Drosophila melanogaster: one gene and its partners. The gene in region 2 interacts genetically with the main gene of each other region. Each region holds a gene or a part of one and is shown on either strand. Other genes may lie near its edges.

Region 1 (7,699 bases), 2.1 Mb from region 2:
TACTACTCATAAATGTGCATCAATGTTCATAAACATTGAAATTATTTCAAATCAAGATGGAACTGAAAGCTATTTATTTGAAAGTAGTGTAGACCACCCACCACCGACTGGCAATTTTTTTCATTTTTGCGGAAAAGCGGTGGTGTCCCCGTGTTGACAGCTCAATTACTCACATGACACAAAGCCTCTGCGTGGCCCCCTGCAATTATCGCGGCAATTATTTGCAATTAGAATTGAGTTAATTTACTTAAAAAAGGATTTTCTGCCGTGCCTGCGCATTTTTGCCCCTTGACGTTTGCACTTCGGCACGTGTGTGTTTTGAGTTTTCCGCTTTTGTGCAATTTGCGTGCATAAATTTTTATTGTTCCAAAGGGACTACATAATTATTTTGTTATTTTTCGTCGTTTTCACTTCTGCTTTCGAGGAGAGTGCGCTTCATTACTATTTCGATTTTACTGCGACTGTATAATGCTACCCATGTTTGCAATAAGTTCGCGTTTAGTAGTGTTAAACACGCAATAAAAGCGAAGGGAGGGAGGAGCGATCGCACATAAACATGCTCGCATTCTAAGCACACGTACAGTCCGGGCCAAGAAAATAGGTTCGCTTGACTTCAATTCAAAAGATTTCGTAACGAAAAAACTTTAGTTTCGTTGCTTTACCCATTAAAAAAAATTGGCAGTGCATTTGCGAATAGAATTTCGATTTGTTTCCGCTTATTTTCGTACCGAAAACACTCTGCCGAAGGAGGGCTTCATCGAATTTTAGGTTCAATTACTCGCCGGTCCCACGCACGAAAAAATTCGTTGACGCTGCCTTCTCTTAAACTCCTCCCCTGAAACTACGTTCCCTTCATTTTTGTTGTGGTTGCGGTGGGGTGTTTACAGTTTGATTGTGGCTGTGGGTTGACGCCACCTCCAACACCACCAAAGGCCATGCACTGCAAACAAATTAGTGTGCATCTAAAAACAGCAATGTCTATTTAATTCGAAAAAGAGTTAAGTAAAAGAGTACTCAAATGTTAAATCTTAGTTCTTCAAGTAACATTGTTATTTGAAATACAAATGTTGCATATTTTTCTCGCCGTGTGATCTGCTGCACACAAACACGTTCGCGCTCACGTGCTGGCGCCCCCAACTGCAGATAGGGCATTTGATTTGTTTAAAACAAAACTTTCGTTGCCTGTATGGGTGTAGTGGTGTGCACTTGGCTGCCCCAAACGCACACTGAAACCAATTACGAGCACAGGAATACGAATACGAATACGTCACTCAGAGGTCTTCAGAAATCAGGGCTGCGGACTAGCTGGTGATAAAGAAGGGATTCAATAGGGATACATACACTAGATTTATACTCTCTTAGGGCTACAATAAGTACATTACTAAATAGATAAATATTAAGAAAATGGAATATAATAACTCAATTTTCCAGTCTTAAACTTATTAATAACTGTAGAAAGTAGTTTGTGTTACCTTTAGATACTTTAGGATGGACCTGCTGCTTCGCATCCCTGGCGAACTCACACCGATACACAATACGAATGCAGTTTGGGCTGCGTTCAGTTCGTCACTCACTCAGTCAGTCAGTTCGTCAGTCAGTCAGTCAGTCAGTCAGTCAATCAACACTCGGCGCACTCAGTTTGCTGGGCAACCCGTTCGGCATTCGTTGTCGATCGGTCGTGTCGTGCAGTTGACTTCTGATTCGCGCTCGCTGCCATTTCCACTTTGCGTAATTTACGGCGAAAATAAAAAATAATACGGCAAAAGGCTTAAATAAATGAAGTTATTACGGTGATAACGATTGAATTGAAGACTCGCAGCGGAAATGTAACTGCTGAGGCGACTGGATTGGATGCCCGATCGTCGTGGAGGGTCGCGTTTGCGATTTGCATACGAATAAAATAACATTTTGATGCTGAATTCTTGTCCGTGTGTGTGTGTGTGTTTGTGCGTGCAATAAAAATAAATAAAATAATATCTGCAATCTCAACATCATCATGTGTAGGTTCTTAGTTCGTACATAGTTCTCGTTTGCCTCGAGTTGCTCGATTTTTGAGTTTTCCTCCTCGCATCAAATCGAAACTTTGGCCTGTTTGGTTTTGGTCTTTATCGCGCTGCGTTTTTGTGTGTGCATTGTTTGTTTATTTTTAAACATGGGTCCAAGTCCCTATTTTCTCTGTCTGTTCGTTTTTTTCTTGTTGTTTTGTTGTTATTTTTGTGGCACTAGTCGTAGTACCCTTTACCACGCTTTTTGCCCGCTTTCAATGGCAGCGGAAGTGCTTCTGTACTTCTGTACTTGTGTACTTGCCATCCATCCACCTTGATTTCTACTTCTACCTGGCTCCCATGATTTACGCCTTATTGTCACTGCCGCATTTATGATTGATTATCGATTGGAATGGTATGATACGCATGCGCGAATGCGTGCCTGCCATAAAAGTGCCTCGATATCCTCGCTCCTCCGTTTCTCCAGTTGAGTTATGATCCCTGACTAGCGATGCACTGAAAAGAAACTCACAATGGAATCACTAACCAGAAGAATGTACACAGCCGATTTGAAATGCAATTCTTCAATTTAGTTACTCTAAATATAAGACTAAAAGTAGATTCACTTTAAACCAAGAACCATCAATTGAATTTGCTTTGAAAGCAATGAAGAACTTTCCTTCGAGTGTGGTTTTCTTGAAAGCAGAAAGAAGACTGGGCCACTTTGGGCGGGTACGTTGGGTACGTGATCTCAGCTCGGGTAATATGTAATTGCGAATTACGATTATTGATCTTTAATTGATATGGGGAATGTCCCATATGATAATGGATCATAAAGGACTTATTATATTTATATTTAGTATCGTTCAACTCGAGATGCATTGAGAGACAAAACAAGAAAATCGTTTAAGTGCCTAAAGAAAGCCACTTTGTTGTTTGGAAAACCATCAAATCTCCGAATAAACATCATAAATATGTTGAATATGTTGTTATGATCGTGTAAATAAAGTTTTTATGTAATTCCTGCGAATTAATGGGGTAGTTTCCCCTTTTGAAAACCGACTGATTATGTCGAAAACCTCACCTGCAATCGAGCTTTGCACAAACAAAACGGGGGCATTATCGAAATTTGTATGCCTGCCCCACTCAAATCAATCGAATTCCACTAGAGCACCATTGCCACCTAAAAACACACGACACTAGTCAGCTGGGTAAATACGTAGGGTAGAGTTCTCTATCTCCACTAACCCCCTCGATAAGTCTGTCCGCCAAGTGTCACTCCGTTTGTATCCTGAGTTACTGAGAAGGAGAGACCATGTGAACTGGTACTCCACTGTATGTTTAATTTTGGGATTAGTTATAAGCAAAGGTGTACCATTTTCGATAAGGTACCGATTGTTTGTTCGTAATCCTAATCTTTTGGAAGAGGTTTTTAAGCTAGTTTTGGTAATCAAAATGGTTGTGTGACTTATCATTAATTTCAATATATTCTTGTAGGCTAGTGATAAAGTTAGAGCATTCTTAGAGCAATATATCTACCGCCGGAGGCTCTGGTTGACTTTGGGCAATTAGAAAAGTGACTGCCCCCAACCACTGGTCCTCGTTGACCACGCCCCCTTCCATGGGCGACAACATAAAATTGTCAATGCTGCGAAAAAAAAAAGAAAACGGCAACGCCCCAAAATTTTTAGGCCCGAGTTGAGCGAGAAAATCGAAATTAATTCACGCAACGGCTAATTTGGCCAGAAATATGCGCCATTTGGTCTGTCGGGAGCCCAATCGAGAGGTGTTTTCTTGTTGTCCAAGTGCTGCACTTGTTGATTTATCGCCGGCATTTAATTGCTTTTGAAATTGGATTTACCAGCCCGTTTGCTTGCCACAAAAATGGGTGGTTCGCCTAGCAAGTTCGCCTTGTGTGGCTCGCCGATTTTTGCTCCAGCTTGCACAAATTAATTGCTACTACAAATTTTCATTCAATTAGGTTTTGTCACTTTTAAATTTAATCAAACATTTTTTGACACCTTGAGTAAAGCAACGAGATTGAGGCTAAGACAGCCAACTGGAGCGCAGCCACTTGGCCAACGGAGAGAAGTTCCTCAGAAATGCTGTTAACATTGAAATGTCATAATTCAAATGGAATTGTTGTCTTTGGTGGGGAAAAGTATGGAGGGGGGGGGGCGTAGAAAACAGGGGGGAATACCCACAATTGTGGCGCTGACAAGTCGAACACCATTTGGTTATCATTTGCGCTCATTATGAGATGCAGTTCTCGCCACTCGACTCGAATATTACTGCAGTACAGTGGAGCCTAACTAAATAGAATGAAGACAGTGGGTTTTTATTGCTATAGTTTAGTTTTTTCTGTTGATAAACCAATTTCTTAATGCCAATTTTCTAAGAATCGATAAGGCAGCCCGAAAACCAGCACATGAAACTATTATCTGTGCTTCATAAATTTACCTATTATTCATATATTTTTGCAGAATTGTTGTGTTCGAAAACTAATACTATTTATAACGTTGAAAAGTGCGAACTCTTTTCGTTCGCAACCTTTGTGGTTTTTTGGAATTCAAAGAACTGTCAGACCTCAAAAATACCCCCCTTACAATAGAATCGTTTCACAATTGACGTCAGCTGCGATTGAATACGAACAATAACCATATTTAATAGATAAAAATAAGTTTCCAACGAAATCGAGATTCGATTAATCAGCTAGTTGGTTAAGTGAAGCAATAATGGCCATTATTCTCAATGAGAAAATGTTGCAGGCAATTTGCATGCAATTGGCCGCCAACATTGAAAGTGGGAGGAGTCCGTTCATGACAGGAACCTCCCAACGACTTCATTCACTAGCCAGAAACACGATGCACTGCCAGGCCCCATGGATACTCACTCCTCCTCCAATTTCTGCTGGGCACTTGGCCAAGCGGGTAAAGACACTCGAAGAAAAAGGGTCACATAAGTTGCTGACTTCCCCTTTTGTTACGTATAAACATTTGCTTGAATTAGATGCAAAGTTTTCTATAACATTTCTCTCAGTGCATTCGAATTTTGCATGCGTTGTGTTGTGGGCGTTGCTGAGACAATCTAAGCTCGATGATGAATGCCTGCAATTCTATTTGTATTTATTATTTATATTTGCTTTTTACTTGCTCTTTTCACAGACTATCCGCCCGCTGATAGTTATACCGGTTATCGGGTGACTCCACCCCAAATCAACGGCGGCACCACCACCACCACCACCATCAGCAGCGGCAGCAGCAACAACAACAACATCCACCACATCAACAATAACAATAACCACATCTGCAGCAGTGGCAGCAGCAACAACCTCAATTTGACGACAGCAATCAGCGGCAGCAGCAACAGAATGGACACCGACGATGTGGAATCGAACACAAGCAGCGCGATGTCCACACTGGGCTCGCTATTCTCCTTCACATCGCCGGCGGTGAAGAAGCTGCTGGGCTGGAAACAGGGTGACGAAGAGGAGAAGTGGGCGGAGAAGGCCGTCGACAGTCTGGTGAAGAAGTTGAAGAAGCGCAAGGGCGCCATCGAGGAGCTGGAGCGTGCGCTCTCCTGTCCCGGTCAGCCCTCGAAGTGTGTCACCATTCCACGCTCGCTGGACGGACGATTACAGGTGGGTCACAAGCCACATGGCCAGCTAAGTAACAGATGATTATTAACTCCTATTTCCGAATATCAGGTCTCCCATCGCAAGGGTCTGCCGCATGTGATCTACTGCCGCGTGTGGCGCTGGCCAGATCTGCAGTCGCACCACGAACTGAAGCCACTCGAGCTGTGCCAGTATCCGTTCAGCGCCAAGCAGAAGGAGGTGTGCATCAATCCGTATCACTATAAGCGCGTGGAGAGTCCGGTGCTCCCGCCAGTACTCGTTCCTCGCCACTCGGAATTCGCGCCCGGTCACTCGATGCTGCAGTTCAACCATGTGGCCGAGCCCAGTATGCCGCACAATGTGAGCTACTCGAACAGTGGATTCAACTCGCACAGCTTGAGCACCAGCAACACATCGGTGGGCAGTCCGAGTTCCGTCAACTCCAATCCCAATTCGCCGTACGACAGCTTGGCGGGAACACCGCCACCCGCCTACAGTCCCTCGGAGGATGGCAACTCCAACAATCCGAACGACGGTGGCCAGCTGCTGGATGCTCAGATGGGCGATGTTGCCCAGGTTAGCTATTCGGAGCCCGCCTTCTGGGCGTCGATAGCCTACTACGAGCTAAATTGCCGCGTGGGCGAGGTGTTCCACTGCAACAACAACTCCGTGATCGTTGACGGTTTCACGAATCCTTCCAACAACTCGGACCGCTGCTGTCTCGGCCAGCTGAGCAACGTGAACAGGAATAGCACCATCGAGAACACACGCCGTCATATAGGTGAGTCGATTTTAGCACTTAAATTAACTTACTCACAGAGATTTCCCATCAGCAACTATCTTAAAGTGGTTAATAACTAAGATTACACATTGGTAATCTTAAATTAGAAAGCGACTTGTGTTTATCAGTTATAAAAATAGGCATTGAGTAGAGTAGAAAGCTATGGACTTCAAGAATCCAACTACCTGTCTTTTTAACTCAAAATGTTTCTTCTTCCCCAGGCAAGGGTGTTCATTTATACTATGTGACCGGCGAGGTCTACGCCGAATGCCTATCCGACTCCGCCATTTTCGTGCAGTCGCGCAACTGCAACTACCACCACGGATTCCATCCGAGCACCGTGTGCAAAATACCGCCGGGCTGCTCGCTGAAGATCTTCAACAATCAGGAATTTGCTCAGCTGCTGTCGCAGTCGGTGAACAATGGATTCGAGGCCGTCTACGAGCTGACAAAGATGTGCACGATCCGGATGTCGTTCGTGAAGGGCTGGGGTGCGGAGTATCATCGCCAGGATGTGACCTCGACGCCCTGTTGGATTGAAATCCATCTGCACGGGCCGCTCCAGTGGCTGGACAAGGTGCTCACCCAAATGGGCTCTCCGCATAATGCAATTAGTTCGGTATCCTAAGCTTAAGATGAGGCTCGAGTCCTCAATGGAGACGGAAGAGAAGGAACACAAAACCGGTAGCTAAATGATGAGTGCGTGTGAGTGAAAGCTAAGTGTGAAAAGACGTAGAGAACACAGGACAATGGAGAGAGCATAGGTCTGTAGGCCTGAGGATGGAGGTCCATGCCACTCAGTCGCAGATTTATATAGATGATGTACGGCAGCTACTCCAATACCCGCCCTTTGCCCATATTTTATAGTTTATCGTATGATTTTCTATGCGAATGTCATTCCTAACGCTAAAACAGAGTAATGAAAATGGACAGCGAGCTAAGAAACCAATTACAAAATGGTATAACTATTTACAATGATCTACATGCTATAATATTAATGATCTATGCCCATTGGCAAAACAGTTCTTGTTCAAGTCTATTTCAAGTGCTAATTATGTGTCATTGCAAAACTGCTTTAAATATAAAAACACATTGAATTAATCCTACCAACTTTAATTACATAAGGAACAAGTAACTTACGTAGGGATATGAAAACACTTATTGCAATACATTTCTTAAAATGATTTTGAAGAAGCCCTAGCTTATGTTTTATTTTTCTCATTTGCGGTTCGCCTTGGATCAACGAATTCAATGTTCAATATAGTTGATTTAAATATATATATGGTTTAACTAATTTTAAGTTGCAAACAAATCGAA
Region 2 (4,763 bases):
TTATTTACACATCTCCCCGACGGGGAATTGAACCCCGGTCTCCCGCGTGACAGGCGGGGATACTAACCACTATACTATCGAGGATGTTGAACTTAGGTCGCCAAATTCAAAATATAAACTTGCTGTTGATCTATACATCCGAGTGTTATGATCATAAGTTATATTAATCCGAACTAATATTATATATAAGATAAAATAAGATAAGATATGCAAAATATTCGATGCTGATTTATAACACGCTTTTTTAAATCATTTTATTAAGATGGTAGACTCACCATTTTCCACGGTCTTGCTTTTCTCGTTGTCGGCATCCTCATATCCCTCTGATCCTGGTCCAGATCCCATTTCCATGCCACTCAAAGCGGCGGCGGCCATAGCTTCGACGTCTGGCTGAACATTCGCACTGAATTCACCTACGGGGCAAACAGAAAAACGGGCAATACGAAATATAAGTAAATTGAAAAACTGTGTAACTAATTTGTAAACAAAAAAAGGGAGAGCGGGTGGGAGTCTTGGCACTTGAGTTGCTCTTCTGTGGCGCCAGGCAAATGTCAATTAATAATTTAACAACAACAATTGCCCGTTTGTCGGGCGCCTGAAATACGAGATCTTAATTGAAAATAGAAACACATAGGGGCGATGGAGAGGAAAAGGGGAGTCGCACCAACGGAGAATGGGCAACTTCAACTCTCTTCCTGCTGAAAGCGGATGAGCGTGGGCCAACTAGACAGCTAAACGTGTGTCATAAACTTGGTCAAAAGGCCGCAGAATTTAGTGCCTCTCCGCAGACGGCTGCGTTCAGAACCAGTTGCCAGCCAAGTAGTCGGAGAGGCATCTTTAAGATACTGTTTGACAGCTCGCCGAGATTACGTCTAGTTCTGTCGTCTGCACGCCACAGACTTGGAGGATGACGTTCCTCGACGGCTCAAAGCCCACGCAATGAGCGCGACTTGAAGACCAAGAAATCCCCCTTTCTCGAGATACAAAACCGAGGTGCAAAAACCCCACTGTGCAACTTTCAGTGCAAATCAGCGGAAGCGACTCAGACCCAATCTCAGCGAAAGGGGTTAGGCCTCCTGCAGGGGTTTCTGTGTGCTACACTACCCATGTTTCCCCTACACTCACTTTGCCAAAATTAATGAGCAAACTTCATACGTAATTTGATAAACAGAAAAAGTGGTTGGCGCTCATTGGGGTCTTATCAAAACATTAGTTATTATTTATGATGCGTCTCATTTCGAGAGCTGGTATAATATATGTGTGCCACTCGACGGGCAATTGAAATCTCGTACGCGTGTTGGGTGGGCGAGGAAAGTCGCTATTCCATTCCGAATCTGTCAAAATGATAAAATGAATTATGCGAGTGCAGGTCCGATAAAAAGCTGCCATTCATGGAAAATCGGCGGCAATTGCGGAGCGCGAGCAAAGGATAATCTTAATTACGACCATAGAAAGTCGTAAATTAATGGAACTCAATAAAACTTTAGCGTAACATGAGTGGTGTAAATTATGGGAAACCGCTATACACAGTAATAAAAACATTATTAATAAAAAAAAAGTTCAATGATATCGATAGGGGGTTTGCGATATTTTTTAGTTTTGCAACACTTAAGAAGCAATATAATATTTGTTAGCTGAAAGTGCCTTGCTAAAATTTGACTTTCTAACTCCTCTTAGTTTCGAATATTTTCCAGTGCAACCACGAAGTTAACCGAAGCATTGATAAAGCCCATGTCTATGGCTATCGACTATCGCTAATTGATTGAGTGCCTTGCACTTGTCGACTCGAAACCCGCAGACCAAACGACGTAATTCCCCCGACGCGTCTAATATTTTCGCCACTTTGGTGTTGTGTTGTGTTGTGCCTTACACTCTCTGGCAGTTACATAAGCCATCTATCAAAGATTGCAAATTGCTGGGTGGAAAACTCGCGGCTCTTGTGTTCGACACATTTCCAAGAACTCAAAAGCAAAACAAAACACAAACGTGACAATCCATGTGGGTGCAGCCAAAGAACTGCGACCAGGGGAACTGATTTCGTATGGGCAGAACATGGCGACAATAAGCAAAACCCAGGCACAAAGTGGAGCACGTGCAAATTGGCTATCAATCAATATGCATACGGGTAGGAAAATGTACTGCGATGATATAGTTCGCATCGCTTCAAAAGATTCGCAATTACGTAGAAATAAAAGCAAATGCCGACTGCATGGCAAACGAATTGAATGGCTCCCAGCCAAATGGCAAAAATGTTAGGCCTCTATGACACTAGGTCGAAAACATAGTAGGCTATTCTAATGTAAATTCAAACACTTCCATATAGTAACATATTTTTTAATAACATAAAATGAAGAAAATTGATGAACAGAAGCAGCGCAGTCAAAGGATGAGCTAAAGATGCCAGCTTGCAGGAACACCATGAGCAGTCAGGAGCGCACGCAGAACATCAAGCGCTAGATAATGGAGGATGAATTGACCTTGTGCGAGGTCAATACCCTTTCAATCGATTATGAGGCGGCCGGCAAATGACAGTTTAACAGCCGCCACGGAACTAGCTGATCAATCCATTATTGACGATGTTTTTGGAGAAGACATCCTGATGAAAGACTTGCAGCGTAAGAACACCGTGCAGCCCACTTGCTCAACAACGACATCGTATCTTGTCCCATTTGCTTTGAGAAAATGAAGCGCGGTACCATTATGGTGTGCTTGGAACCGCCATCGTTTACTTCAAAGGACTTGGACACCCGTTTCTCCTCCTCGGGATCTTCCACATCACGCTGCACCAAATCGAAATCAAATTCATCAAAGCGAATTCTTCGCAGCTCCGGTTACACAGAGCTGAACAGCAACTCGACTACTCTGCTGTCCAGCGAGGACGAACTTACTCCGCGTCAGCGCCTCTAGTGCAATCTCTTCAAACAGACCGTCGGCTGTCCCAGATGTGGCCTGGAGTTCAAGGGCCACCAGCTGAAGGCGCATCAATCTCTCTGCCAGGGTCGCAAGAAGCACTAGGACGGCACCTTATACGAACCATACATTAAATAAGTTTTTCACAATTTTTCACACAGTAAATTTTCTTCATGTTATCAAAAGTGTGTTACAAGCAAAATATATAAAACAACTGATTGTAAAGTCAAGGCATGCTTATGTATCTAAAATATTGCTTGTTTAAATTTCAAGTCGATTGGTGTCATAAACGCATCTCTCAGATGGTCAGTGAGTGAAAATCAATTGGGTGTGGTCTGGGTAACTGGGCTTTTCAGCGGTTTGCCTGCTCATTGAACCTTGTCCAACTACAAAATGCTTCAAGTACTGCTACATTTACTGCAAAAATGGCCTAAAAATCGCCTTTCAAGTTGCACTTACAGTGGCCCAAAGAAAAACGCGGCCAACATTGTTGCCTGAGATAAGAAAACTTGGCTGGCGAGAGGAAAAACACACAATGAATAATGAATGGCGAATGTACGCCAGATAAACCCACATTGCATTTGTTGTGGGTTCGGGTTCATATTTTCATATTCATATTAAGTGACTGATTGATTGATGGCCCAGGCAACTTGGAGGTTTACTTTCAGTTTATCGTTCGGTAAGTCACACGTTTCTTTCCAAATCGCTCGTGGTTGGGATGTCAACTTGGAGATTGATGGCAGAATGGGGAAGAAAACCCCAAGGCAATCAAAAGTGAAGTAAAATAGGAGTTACGATAGCCAAAATGGGCAATTAGCAAAGTGGGGGTGCGTTTAAAGTTGTGTTTAGCGAAAGTGAATCACATTTCCTACATGTAATACCATGTTTTTGCTGTTTTATAAGATGCTTATGCATGAAGATGGCTAAAAATAGTATGTGTCACACACATTAATTAGAGTAAAACTGTATATTTCGTAACATAAAAATGCTATCTAGAGATTAGTGCTCCCTCCTTTTCACCACCATTAGAAATCCCCTAACCCAGTCGAGATTCTGGCCAGCAAAGATGTTTTGAAACTGGGTCGTCGCCGCTGAGTGCGCGCACTCTAGTAGCAATTAAAAATTTTAAATATTCCTTCTGCTGAACAGAATTTAGCAAACTTGCATTGGCCACTCAAAAATAGATCAAAGTGAAATTTATGTTACAGATTTTGGGTTTTTTTTTTTCTGGGTGGGGAAAACCAGGCGAACGGCGGATGCGAGAGTGGGACGATAGGGCCAAAAATAAATTCCCCGATGCAGCCATTTGGAGTTGGATTCTGTCCATCAACGCGCCGAGTCCATGCTAAATGAGCTGCACCCCCCGCCAGTCCGATGCATCGGCGTGTGAACATTAGTCAAAAATGCGTAAATGAAATCAATTAAAATTACGCATAGCACACGAGACGCATTCGGAATGGAAATCGATGTGTGTTTACACATTCTGCCTACGCGCTCTGCATGGCCTAATGAAGGCACGTCCCCATGCCATACCATCCTATACCACTCCGTCCATACAATCCCATCCAATTCGATCCCCAGGGAATTGGGTATGGGGAATGGTCGAGGGTAAGGGTTGAACCCGAGTGCAATTGGTAATGGCCAACACAAGAAGAAGAGCGGCGGAGCAGGGGATCACTGAGTGCCACTTCAATTTGTTTACAACAAGTTGGCCCGCTGATTGCAGCTGGGCCTCATTTCATACACACTTTAAAAAATCAATTTTCGACTTGCATTTAACGTGCCATATGCACTTGTTTTATATGATGGAACTTCCCTACCACTTATACAATTCCATAATAATTTCTCGCAGT
Region 3 (5,647 bases), on a different chromosome or scaffold from region 2:
AATGACTTCATTCGAAACCCAACGCAAATGCAATGATAAAACCAGTTTAATTTAAAGTTTTTTTAGTTTTCTGTTGTTAATTTAATCAATTCGTTTTCCTTTTGATTTTGTTGTTTGTTTGTTGTATGGTCACACAATTATTATTATTATTATTGTTGTTGTCAAATGTAATATATAAAAATACTGATTTTATATATATACATACATTTAGATATATATATCTCTTTCTCTATGTATAGGCGCATTTAATATTTCCCTTGGCAATGAAAAAAAAAAAAAAACGTTCTCCTCTTGTTTGTATATAAATATATTGTATATATGTATATTGTATATCATTATAATTAACTTTTAAATGTAACCCTTAATATTACGTTAAATTTCTTGCTCTCTTTTGTGTTTGTAAATATATATTTATGTATAATATAGCTGTATATTCAATAAGCTTCAGTTTTCAACAATTTTATTAAAATTTTGTTTTGTTGTTGTCATATCACAAGAATTTTCAATTTTCAATTTCCAAATAAAAAAAGTGTGTATTGTAAAGGTGTGTATTTGTTTCGTTTTTAAAGCTTTACTCTTAACAATTTTCTCAGTTTTTCCAGTTGCATTTTTCACATTTTCTCTCTTAAAATACTCTCCCACAAGTTATACAAATGAAATGAAGCGTTGAAATTCTTAAGCAAATTCAATTGTTTCGCCTTGTTTCACTTTTTGTACACAATTATTTACACAAGCTAATACAAGAAAAAAAAAAAGAAAAATCTGAACTTAAGCTTAATTTGTTCTTAGTGTGTAACCAAAAAAAAAAGAAGGGTTTATACCTAGGGTTTGGGGTTTTTTTTGCTGATATGCTTGGAAGATATATGTTTGCGCTTAGATATACAATTTTTTATTAAGGTAAACTTAGGTGGTAGGGCTAAAAAAAACGTTATTAAGCTTAAATATGGCTTAGGGAACTAAAAGGCCAGGCCCAGTGACTGCCATTATAACATCCGATTGGTGGGATTGCTGCTTCCTTAGTTTCTATTGTGTGTGTTGTTTGTTGTGTGTGTGTGTGTGTGTGTGTGTGTGTGTGTTCTTAGGCCACCAGGGTCAGGTTTGTGGGCGCAGTATCCGCCACGAGAATCAGTGGTCGGTTGACGGATGATGTCCTCGCAGTGGCCAAGGACTCCTGATCCAGCCAGCGCTGCAGGTGCTGCTGATGTTGCAGGTGATGCTGCTGTTGCTGCTGCTGCTGCTGCTGTTGCATGTACATCAGATTGTCGTTGTAGACGGCATGCAGCTGGAGATTGAGGCTGTAGTTGCTGCCGCTGTCGCTGTAGGTGGATGAGCTGCTCTCGTAACCGGAAACGGGCGATCCTTTGGGGCAACAGAAGCCGGTGGGCGAGAGGGCGGGCGCCGAGAATGGGCTGAGGGGCGTGGTGGCTTTGCTGGAGCTGCAGTTGTCCTGAAATTGCTGATTAGGACTCCCGCCGGCGACGGGAAATGTCTGCTGCTGTTGCATACTGGTGGGGCACTGAAAGCTGCTGGTGATCGAACTGCCGGGCGATACACAGCCACCGGGATACGGATGGTTGCTCCAGATGATGGGTTCCCTTTGTTCGTTGATTGCCGATGGCTTTTTCTTGAGGCGACGCTGTTTCTTGTCGGCCGCCTCCTTGGAGTCCACCTCATCATCGTCGGCATAGCGGGACTCTTCCTCGTCGTCCTGCTCCTCCTCGGCAGCTCCCTCATCCAAATCCTCCTGCCGATGGTGATGGTGATGATGATGATGATCCTGCTCCTCATCATCGTCCAGCAAATAGGGCTTAAATAGCTTGACCTGTTTAGAGGGCAGCTTGTGCTCCTCCGGCTGCTCCGTCTCCACGTCCACCTCCACATCCTCGTTCTCCGTTTCCGTTTCGGGCTCCTTCTTGATCACCTCCTCCAGCTTACTAATCTTATCCGGCTGCATCGGACTAGTGATGACCTTACGTTTGCGGAAAGTGAGATCCACACCAGATGGATCCTTTTCGTGCAACTGCATTTGACGGCGGGCAGAGGATCCGAGAGAGAGGTCCATGGGGGCTGGTGTGGCAACCGCCTCCAGTCGATTCTCCAAATAGCCATGCAGATTGTGATGGTAGGCAAAGGGCACATGTGGAATGTGACTGGCTGACGATGTGGACCCAGGGGATCCGCTCAGGATTGGCACTTGTATTGGCACTTGGTTGCTGTTGCAGCTATTGCTGCTGCTGCTGCTGTTGTGGCAACTACTGTTATTGCTGCTCGGCAATGTGTTGCTGCTGCTGCTGCTGCTGGCGGGGATTGTTGCTGTCGGTGTGGGATTGCCATTGCTGGTGGCCATGGCGGCGGCAACAACAGCGGCTATTTTGGCCGCCGAAAGGACATTCGAGGATCCCTGATTGCTGCCATTGGTAGCAATGGTTGCAGGTGTCTCCTGCTGTGACTGCTGCTGATCCTGTTGCTGCTGCTCCTGCTGCAACTGCTGCTGCTGCTGCTGTTGCTCCTTCTGATGCTGCATTTGAGGATGCATTGCCACCGGGACATGCAAGTGGGGATGGGCGGCCAGGGGGTGTGGAACCATGCCATTGGCTGCCAGCAAATGGTGGGCGGCATGATGGTGGGCTGCTGCTGCTGCTGCTGCCGCTGCTGCTGCCGCCGCTGCTGCTGCAGCGTGATGATGATGGGCGGCATGATGGTGGGCGGCATGATGATGATGATGACCCACCGCGGCGGCGTGATGGTGATGCAACTGGTGCACCAGCGGATGGCTCAGCTGATGGAACACCTTGACCGCCGGTGTCGGCGATACCGATTGCTGTGGGAGTAGTTGCTGCTGCTGCTGTTGTTGCTGCTGTTGCTGTTGCTGCTGCTGCTGCTGTTGCTGATTGTTGGCCACCGATGATCGCAAATTTGACTCGCATTGCAACCATTTTTGGATTTGCCGGCGGTGAATGTTGTATTTCCTGGCCGTGGCCCGTTGATTGCCCTTGCAATCATTATCATTCCTGTATGATTCGAGGACTTGCAGCTTAAAGTGGGGCGTGAAAATCCGACGACTTCCCATTTTGGGGCTGCCCGAAGAATTGCCATTATTTGTGTGGCTGTTTGTGGCATTCTCCGAAGAATCCTTGGGCCGCTTGAAATTCAAAGCTCCCGATCCGTTCAACTGTTCGCTGCTGCTATCCATGATTATGGTTTATTTTCGTGGCGTTCTTTAAAGATTGTTTTTATTTTCCCAAGATTCTGGTCAGTTTTGTGTGTATTTTTGTTGATTTTAATGTAGCGAAATAATAGTCAAACAAGTGTGTTTTGCAGTAGTAGTAGGTAGTAAGTTTTAGGTGCTTTTGTTGTAGCTGTTGTTGCTACTTGCGTGCGACGCTTGCGCTTTCATAACTCGCGATCTGGCAGCTCTGTCCCCAAAGCAGCGACGTCGACTGCGACGCGTCTCACATACACACACTGGCACACACTCGCTCTGATACTTTTTGGAGTTTATTTGAAAGCACTTTTCAAAATCCGTTTCAAATCTATATAGTTGTGTATATTTCGATTGGTATAGATCGGATAAATAAAACACAGTTAAAAAAAATATATGTCTGCGTGCTGTTGCTTCTTCTGCTCTTTTCCTTTTCTTGTTAGCTACTTCTCGTACGTTTTACTACGCTCTTCTCATAACTCGCGTTTGCGATCCGCACGGCAAGGAATCCAAAACACAATTGTTCTGCCCTCGGCGTTCTAGTTCGAAGATACGTTCTAGACTGCCTCGCCTCGGCCGGCGTCGCTGCCGGCGCCGCCGTCGACTGCGGTTCACTCTGAAATGCTCACGCACACAGGCGTAAAGTGCCTGCCTGTCTGCTGTGCGCTGCTGTTGTTGTTGCTGCTGTTCGTGTGGGTGTTCGTGTGCGTGCAGCAGTGGGAGAGAGAGTGAGAGGGGGAGCTAGAGAGCGAGCAACAGAGAGAGAGCGCATGGCGCTGAAGCTGAGCATTGCAGACAAACTGACGACAATCGTGTCGCGAGGTGTCTGCGCTTGCATGTGTGCGTGCTTGGAGTGCAAGTGCGAGCGGGATGCCATAATACCAGTTCCCTTTTGCGGCGCTTTTGTTGCTGCTGTGCCGTGCTGTGCTGAGTTGTGTGCACGGTGGGACCGAATGGACAACATGGGACGGAGCAACCCATTCCCCCGTCCCTGTGCGCCACAGTCTTTGTCCACTCTTTTCGATTGCCACAGTCACCCGACTGACTGACTAACTGACAAACACCGCGAACCGCACAGTGGGACCAATTCGTATGGCTTTTTTTTATATAAAAAATAAAAAAAATATTATATGATACCTAAAAACATGGAATAGAACAAATCAAAAGATAACATTTTTAACAGCGAGATAATATAACACATTTTCTTCTTCTTTAATAATTAAAAAACCCTTTATCAATTTATAGGCCATCGAGTCAATAAGTGAAACGCGTTTCAAATTCTTCTATCTCTAAAACATTGTTAGCTATCTGCCAACAACAGATTATTGTTTTAAACATAAACCCAAAGTCGACAAATGTTCGCACTACTTGGAAACCATTTTTAAATTCTGTTTACAAAAATTAGTTTTTTACATGTATTAGTAGGCCCACACTTAACCCTTTGCTGGCAGCTTTTTGTGCCACTGTGTCGCAGCACAGTTTGTTAGCGGCTGCGGTTGCTGTTGCCGTGTTGCGTTGTGTTGTTGTTTCTGGCTGCGCTACAAATTCGCTGGCTCTGCCAGTTGCTCATACAGATACACACACGCACACACACGTGTGCAAAAGGCACCTTTGAATGGTGTGCGTGTGTGCGCCAGAGTCGTGGCTGCCAGACATTCTGGCACTGCCACTCCACACGCCGCCCTCCCCCATACCCCTTCCACATCGGCCAGAGCCCCCCACCCCTTTTGACCCACACCCCTGTGCCCACGTCCCCCGTCAGCATACACACACACATCCGTAGAAACCGCGCAACAGATCGTCGAACGAACTTGTTGAGCGCCGCTCTCTCGCCAACCAAACCGCCCGCTCTCTCTCTTCCTTTTGCTCTCTCTTGAATCAACTGTTGAATGCATTGCTGCATTTTTTATATTTTTACACACACATAGAGCCAGACGAACACAGAGGTTTCCAACTATCTTGGTTTTTTTTTTACTCGTTGTTATGGCCGTGGGTGCATATATACCATATAGCTTTAGCTTATTTCTGTCGACGTTGCCGCCGTTCTGTCTAAGCTTAGAAAAATTGAAAAAATAAAACAATGCAACGAAAAAGAACTAAAAGGGCATGCAATAAGTGCAGCAACAATATGTGTACAAGAGAACCTCTCCGCACTTGTTGCAAATGACAAACCGAAATGCTGCCTCTGCTTCGTTACCAGCTTACTCTGCTTCTTCTGTTCTCCTGCCTCGGCAAAATCTGGATTCATGAATGAAACACACACACACACTGCCGCAGACACCTCGCTCTCTTTCGCTATTTGCATGCGTGTGTGGTTCTGTGTGTGCGTGATTTTTTTTTGTCGGAGACAGTGGGCTGCTTCGCTTGCGTGTGTATGCAAATTTATGAAAATAAAAATAGAAAAAATGACATAAAACAAATCAAATATATGGTGTTGTTGTTGAG
Region 4 (4,764 bases), 2.7 Mb from region 2:
ATTCGGTAACTCCATTACCACAATTCAATATGATGTAATGACACTTGAAAAGGCCAAACAAATTTTACTCGATCACTTTATCCATAGAAACATTACCATTTATATTGAGAGCGATGTAGATTTTGAAATTATTCAAAGAGCACACATAGAAATTGTTAATACCACCTACACAAAAGTAATTCGCAGTCTTTTCCTATTAAAGAACGTTGGTTCATACGCCGAATTCAAAGAAATCATACTTCAATCACATGAAAAACTTTTACACCCTGGTATACAGAAAATGACAAAATTATTTAAAGAAAATCACTTCTTTCCAAATAGCCAACTATTAATTCAGAATATAATAAACGAATGCAACATATGCAATTTGGCCAAAACAGAACATAGAAACACCAAAATGCCTTTAAAAATCACACCCAACCCGGAACATTGCCGAGAAAAATTTGTAGTAGATATTTATTCATCTGAGGGAAAACATTACATCAGTTGCATTGATATTTATTCTAAATTCGCTACACTTGAGCAAATTAAAACTAAGGATTGGATAGAATGCAGAAACGCATTAATGCGCATTTTTAATCAACTAGGTAAACCCAAATTATTAAAGGCAGACAGAGACGGAGCTTTCTCCAGTTTAGCTTTAAAGCGATGGCTTGAAGAAGAAGAAGTCGAATTACAGCTCAATACAGCAAAAAACGGGGTAGCAGACGTCGAAAGATTACACAAAACAATAAATGAAAAAATTCGTATAATCAATTCATCTGATGATGAAGAAGTAAAATTAAGCAAGATAGAAACAATCCTCTACACATACAACCATAAAATTAAACATGACACTACTGGACAGACACCTGCTCAAATTTTCTTATACGCTGGGCATCCCATATTAGACACTCAAAAAATTAAAGAGAAGAAAATAGACAAAATAAATGAAGACAGACAGGAATTTAATATTGACACTAATTACAGAAAAGGTCCACTACAGAAAGGCAAATTAGAAAACCCATTTAAACCAACCAAAAATGTAGAACAGACAGACCCTGACCATTACAAAATCACTAATAGAAATAGAGTTACGCACTACTACAAAACACAATTCAAAAAACAAAAGAAAAATAATAAACTCTCAATTTCACAGGCACCTGGTACCCGATAACACTATTGTTTATACTGATCACAGCTGTTCATGGACAACAAATTCAAATTAATAATATTGACACCAACCACGGATACCTCCTTTTTTCTGATAAGCCAGTACAGATACCATCCTCCTTTGAACATCACTCCTTAAAAATCAATTTAACTGAAATAGACATCGTGGTTGACTATTTTGAGCAAAGACTACGAACCGATTACCATGCACCCCAGATCAATTTTTTATACAATAAAATAAAAAGAGAACTAGCCGGAATAACCCTGAAACATAGAAACAAACGGGGTCTTATTAACATTGTGGGTTCAGGTTTTAAATACCTATTTGGAACACTAGATGAAAATGATCGAGTCGAAATACAGAAAAAACTTGAAATCAACGTCCATAACTCAGTAAAATTACATGAACTCAACGACGCCATACGATTGATAAATGACGGAATACATAGAAGATTTGGAAATGGCTATGCAGCTTTCCAGACTTGGACTGTTTAACCCCAAATTACTAAACTACGACAAACTTGAAAATGTGAACAGCCAAAACATTTTGAACATTAAAACATCCACTTGGATTAACTACAATGATAACCAAGTATTAATCATATCCCACATACCCATTTACCTTTCACTAATAAGCACAATTAAAATAATTCCTTACCCAGACTCCAACGGCTATCAGCTAGATTACACAGACACACAATCATATTTTGAAAAAGAAAATAAAGTTTATAATACCGAAAATAAAGAAGTAAAAAATGAATGTGTCACCAATATTATTAAACACTTAAATCCAATTTGTAATTTTAAGCCAGTACACACGAACGAAATAATAAAATACATAGAACCAAACACAATTGTAACCTGGAACTTAACCCAAACAATTCTTAACCAAAATTGCCAAAATTCAATTAATAAAATAAAAATAGAAGGAAACAAAATGATAAGAGTAACGCAATGCAAAATAGAAATCAATAATATAATTTTAAGTGAAAATCTGTTAGAACCAGAAATAGATTTGACATCACTATACACACCACTTAATATAACAAAAATAAAAATTGTAAAACACAACGACATTGTTGAGATGATTTCAGAGAACAATATTACACTTTACATACAAATGATCATTGTAATAATCGCACTAATTTTGTTGTACTCATATTTAAGATATGTATCATTTAAACCATTTATGATGCTGTATGCAAAACTTAAAATAAGAAAAAATCAAAATCAAAACACACCACAACAAACAGAAATAGAAGAAACTCCATTTCCCACACTATATCCATCAATCCCAGCCCAAGTATAGGCTTCTCTTTAAGGGAAGGGGAGTGACGTATTTGGGTGGTCCAAACCAGCCACTTCCATTATTTCAAAGAAATCAGTAATGCACTCTAGTAATTTTCCATAACGTATCCCAGCTGCGCAGCATTCGTTTATCTTTGGCAGCGCAGCCGTTCTTGTAAACATCCTAAAGCCTGACCTAAGCAGATTTGACTGCCCTCTTTCAACGCTACCTAATCTTAAGAACCCAAGAGCGAGGCTCTCCCGAAATACAAATATTGTTCAAATACTGAGGCTTCTCCTCAATCCAATTTGCATTTGATTTTTAGTCTTAAGCTGAGATCCAAAGAATAAAGTCGTGAAACTATTTCTCCTAAAACTATTTTTTATTTCTTGGCGTTGTCCTTAGTCAACTGACGGGACATTAGTTCGACTCATAAATAAAACAACAATTTTACTATATATTTTCAATTTTTTTTTTCGCAAGCGTCGCACGTGCGAGCTTTTCCCCCGATATTTATATTCGCCACTCACACACACGCGCACCGAGAGCGACACGTCCGAACGGTTCCAGAGCCGTTAAATTTTCGAACTAAAACTGAGTGTCGGGGGTGTAGTGTGGCCAGTTCTTCTAGCGCTCGTTTCGGTAAAGTTTGTGCTCTCGCTTATTGGCCGCATTTCTTGTGTACCGCCGCATGGTCACTCTAGTGCCGCTCTTTGAACCGCTCTCTTACGTTTTCTCTTCTATTACTGCTGCTCATTTAACAGAAATGTTAAAATGCAACGCTTTTCTAACAGAGACCGCGGTCTAAACTTATTTAAATAACATTTTATCTTTTAATAAGCAAATAAATGTAAATCGTACTTAATGAAATATATGATTTTACAAGATGTGTGGTAATAATTTCCATAAAAACGTTTGTTTGTTCTTTCTTCTTTATAATGTAGTAACTAGTTTAACTAGTCCGCGAGTTCATCGGATAACGTGACCACTTAAAAGATTAGATTTTGGGATATGCGGATAGATTGTCACTACCAATTTACAATACTTAATCAATGTTTAATTAAATCAGCAAATGCTATCGATAAGCCAAACTGAAAAATTGCCATTTAGTTCGTTTCTAACCGTGGCGGTCCCAAGTTCATGATCAAGTGCCCTTAGACCTATAGAAAAAATGGACTCAAAAATTACCTTTCTACTTACAACGCTACTATTTGGTAATTCGTATTTTTGCACTTTTCAAAATCATTACATATCATCATTTTTTAATGTTTTTAACTCATGTACATACGACCCCTGGGTCGCTTGGAAACATTAGGATCCAGACAGTTTAGTTTTGACATAACTTAAAAAAACTAACAGGTATCTGATAGTCGATGCTCCTGTACTCAATTAAAACATTTAAATCTGACGAGTGTGTTGGGTAACATTACTTGATAATACATTTACACAATCGCAAAAAGGGGGTAAAACGTAAAATAGCAACATTTTGTTATTTTTTGTCAATAAGTTGTCATGTAAACTCTTAGAGCTAGGGTATATGAGCGTCGGTCTCTTGAAGTTAAGCACATTTCTCGCCATTCTCACTTCACGTCTGCTCTCTACGCTTGCGCCATTGCACAGCTGACAGATTGAAGAGAATTATTGATGTGCAGTTGCATTGCAGCATTCGGTGAAAGCGGAAGAAGGGCACAACGCGCTTTGCATTCCATAAAAATCGCATAACAAAGGGAGTTAATTAGAGTCCATTCGCGCACACATACATATGTACACGCTCATTGCGAAGTAAACAAATTCACATTGGATTGGATTGCATGTGTTTGCGTATCAATTCTCGCTGGTAGGGTGGTAAGGAAGGCAAATGGGCTTATCTACGCGTATCTGCCATATTATGCCCTCTGTGCGTCCCATTGTCCAATTGTGGAATATTAATGCCGTCTATTTCACGTCCACTCGCAGTGCTCGTGGCCAAAATCAATGGGTCTGCTCTGAACGCCAGCAATTATCAGTACCAAGTGGTGGTCGAGCAGACAGCGCCAGACGATTCCCAGATCGAATATATATTCCTCAAACAGTCGGATATGATGAAGGTATGGGGCACAAATCTCACTGCCATTACCTGGGCCCATGCCGTCAACAGCCAGCAATTGCTGGACGAGGTCCTAACCGAAACCAGTAAGATCATTGGCCAAATATGCGCGTGTAACCAACTTATCAATAGTATCATTTCCCTGCCCAAGGTGGCATTGACTTCATCGAAGCGGACATTGTGCTGGGCAAACTGAATGGCGATGGCGAGGACATGCCCATAATGGCCCATCCGCCGG

The links.
Region 1: of tkv (region 2) and Mad, changing one suppresses a phenotype caused by changing the other (phenotypic suppression), as found in Drosophila melanogaster (3 studies listed by BioGRID).
Region 3: of tkv (region 2) and brk, changing one suppresses a phenotype caused by changing the other (phenotypic suppression), as found in Drosophila melanogaster (2 studies listed by BioGRID).
Region 4: of tkv (region 2) and Snoo, changing one suppresses a phenotype caused by changing the other (phenotypic suppression), as found in Drosophila melanogaster (3 studies listed by BioGRID).

What each region holds. Positions count from the first base shown.
Region 1 is NT_033779.5:3,146,730-3,154,428, reverse strand, and holds the start of Mad (mothers against dpp), read left to right. Parts: upstream 1-1,675; 5' UTR 1,676-1,996; coding exon 1,997-2,000; intron 2,001-5,149; coding exon 5,150-5,625; intron 5,626-5,691; coding exon 5,692-6,382; intron 6,383-6,603; coding exon 6,604-7,010; 3' UTR 7,011-7,699.
Region 2 is NT_033779.5:5,241,094-5,245,856, forward strand, and holds the start of tkv (thickveins), read right to left. Parts: upstream 3,047-4,763; 5' UTR 2,983-3,046; coding exon 2,889-2,982; exon of another isoform or gene 1,606-2,888; intron 1,528-1,605; exon of another isoform or gene 1,126-1,527; intron 414-1,125; coding exon 276-413; intron 85-275; exon of another isoform or gene 13-84; intron 1-12.
Region 3 is NC_004354.4:7,306,019-7,311,665, reverse strand, and holds brk (brinker), read right to left. Parts: upstream 3,728-5,647; 5' UTR 3,194-3,727; coding exon 1,079-3,193; 3' UTR 534-1,078; downstream 1-533.
Region 4 is NT_033779.5:7,981,157-7,985,920, forward strand, and holds the start of Snoo (Sno oncogene), read right to left. Parts: upstream 3,041-4,764; 5' UTR 2,975-3,040; exon of another isoform or gene 2,790-2,974; intron 1-2,789. Other genes in the region: CG7231 (uncharacterized protein), read left to right, coding at 3,612-3,654, 4,397-4,612, 4,678-4,764.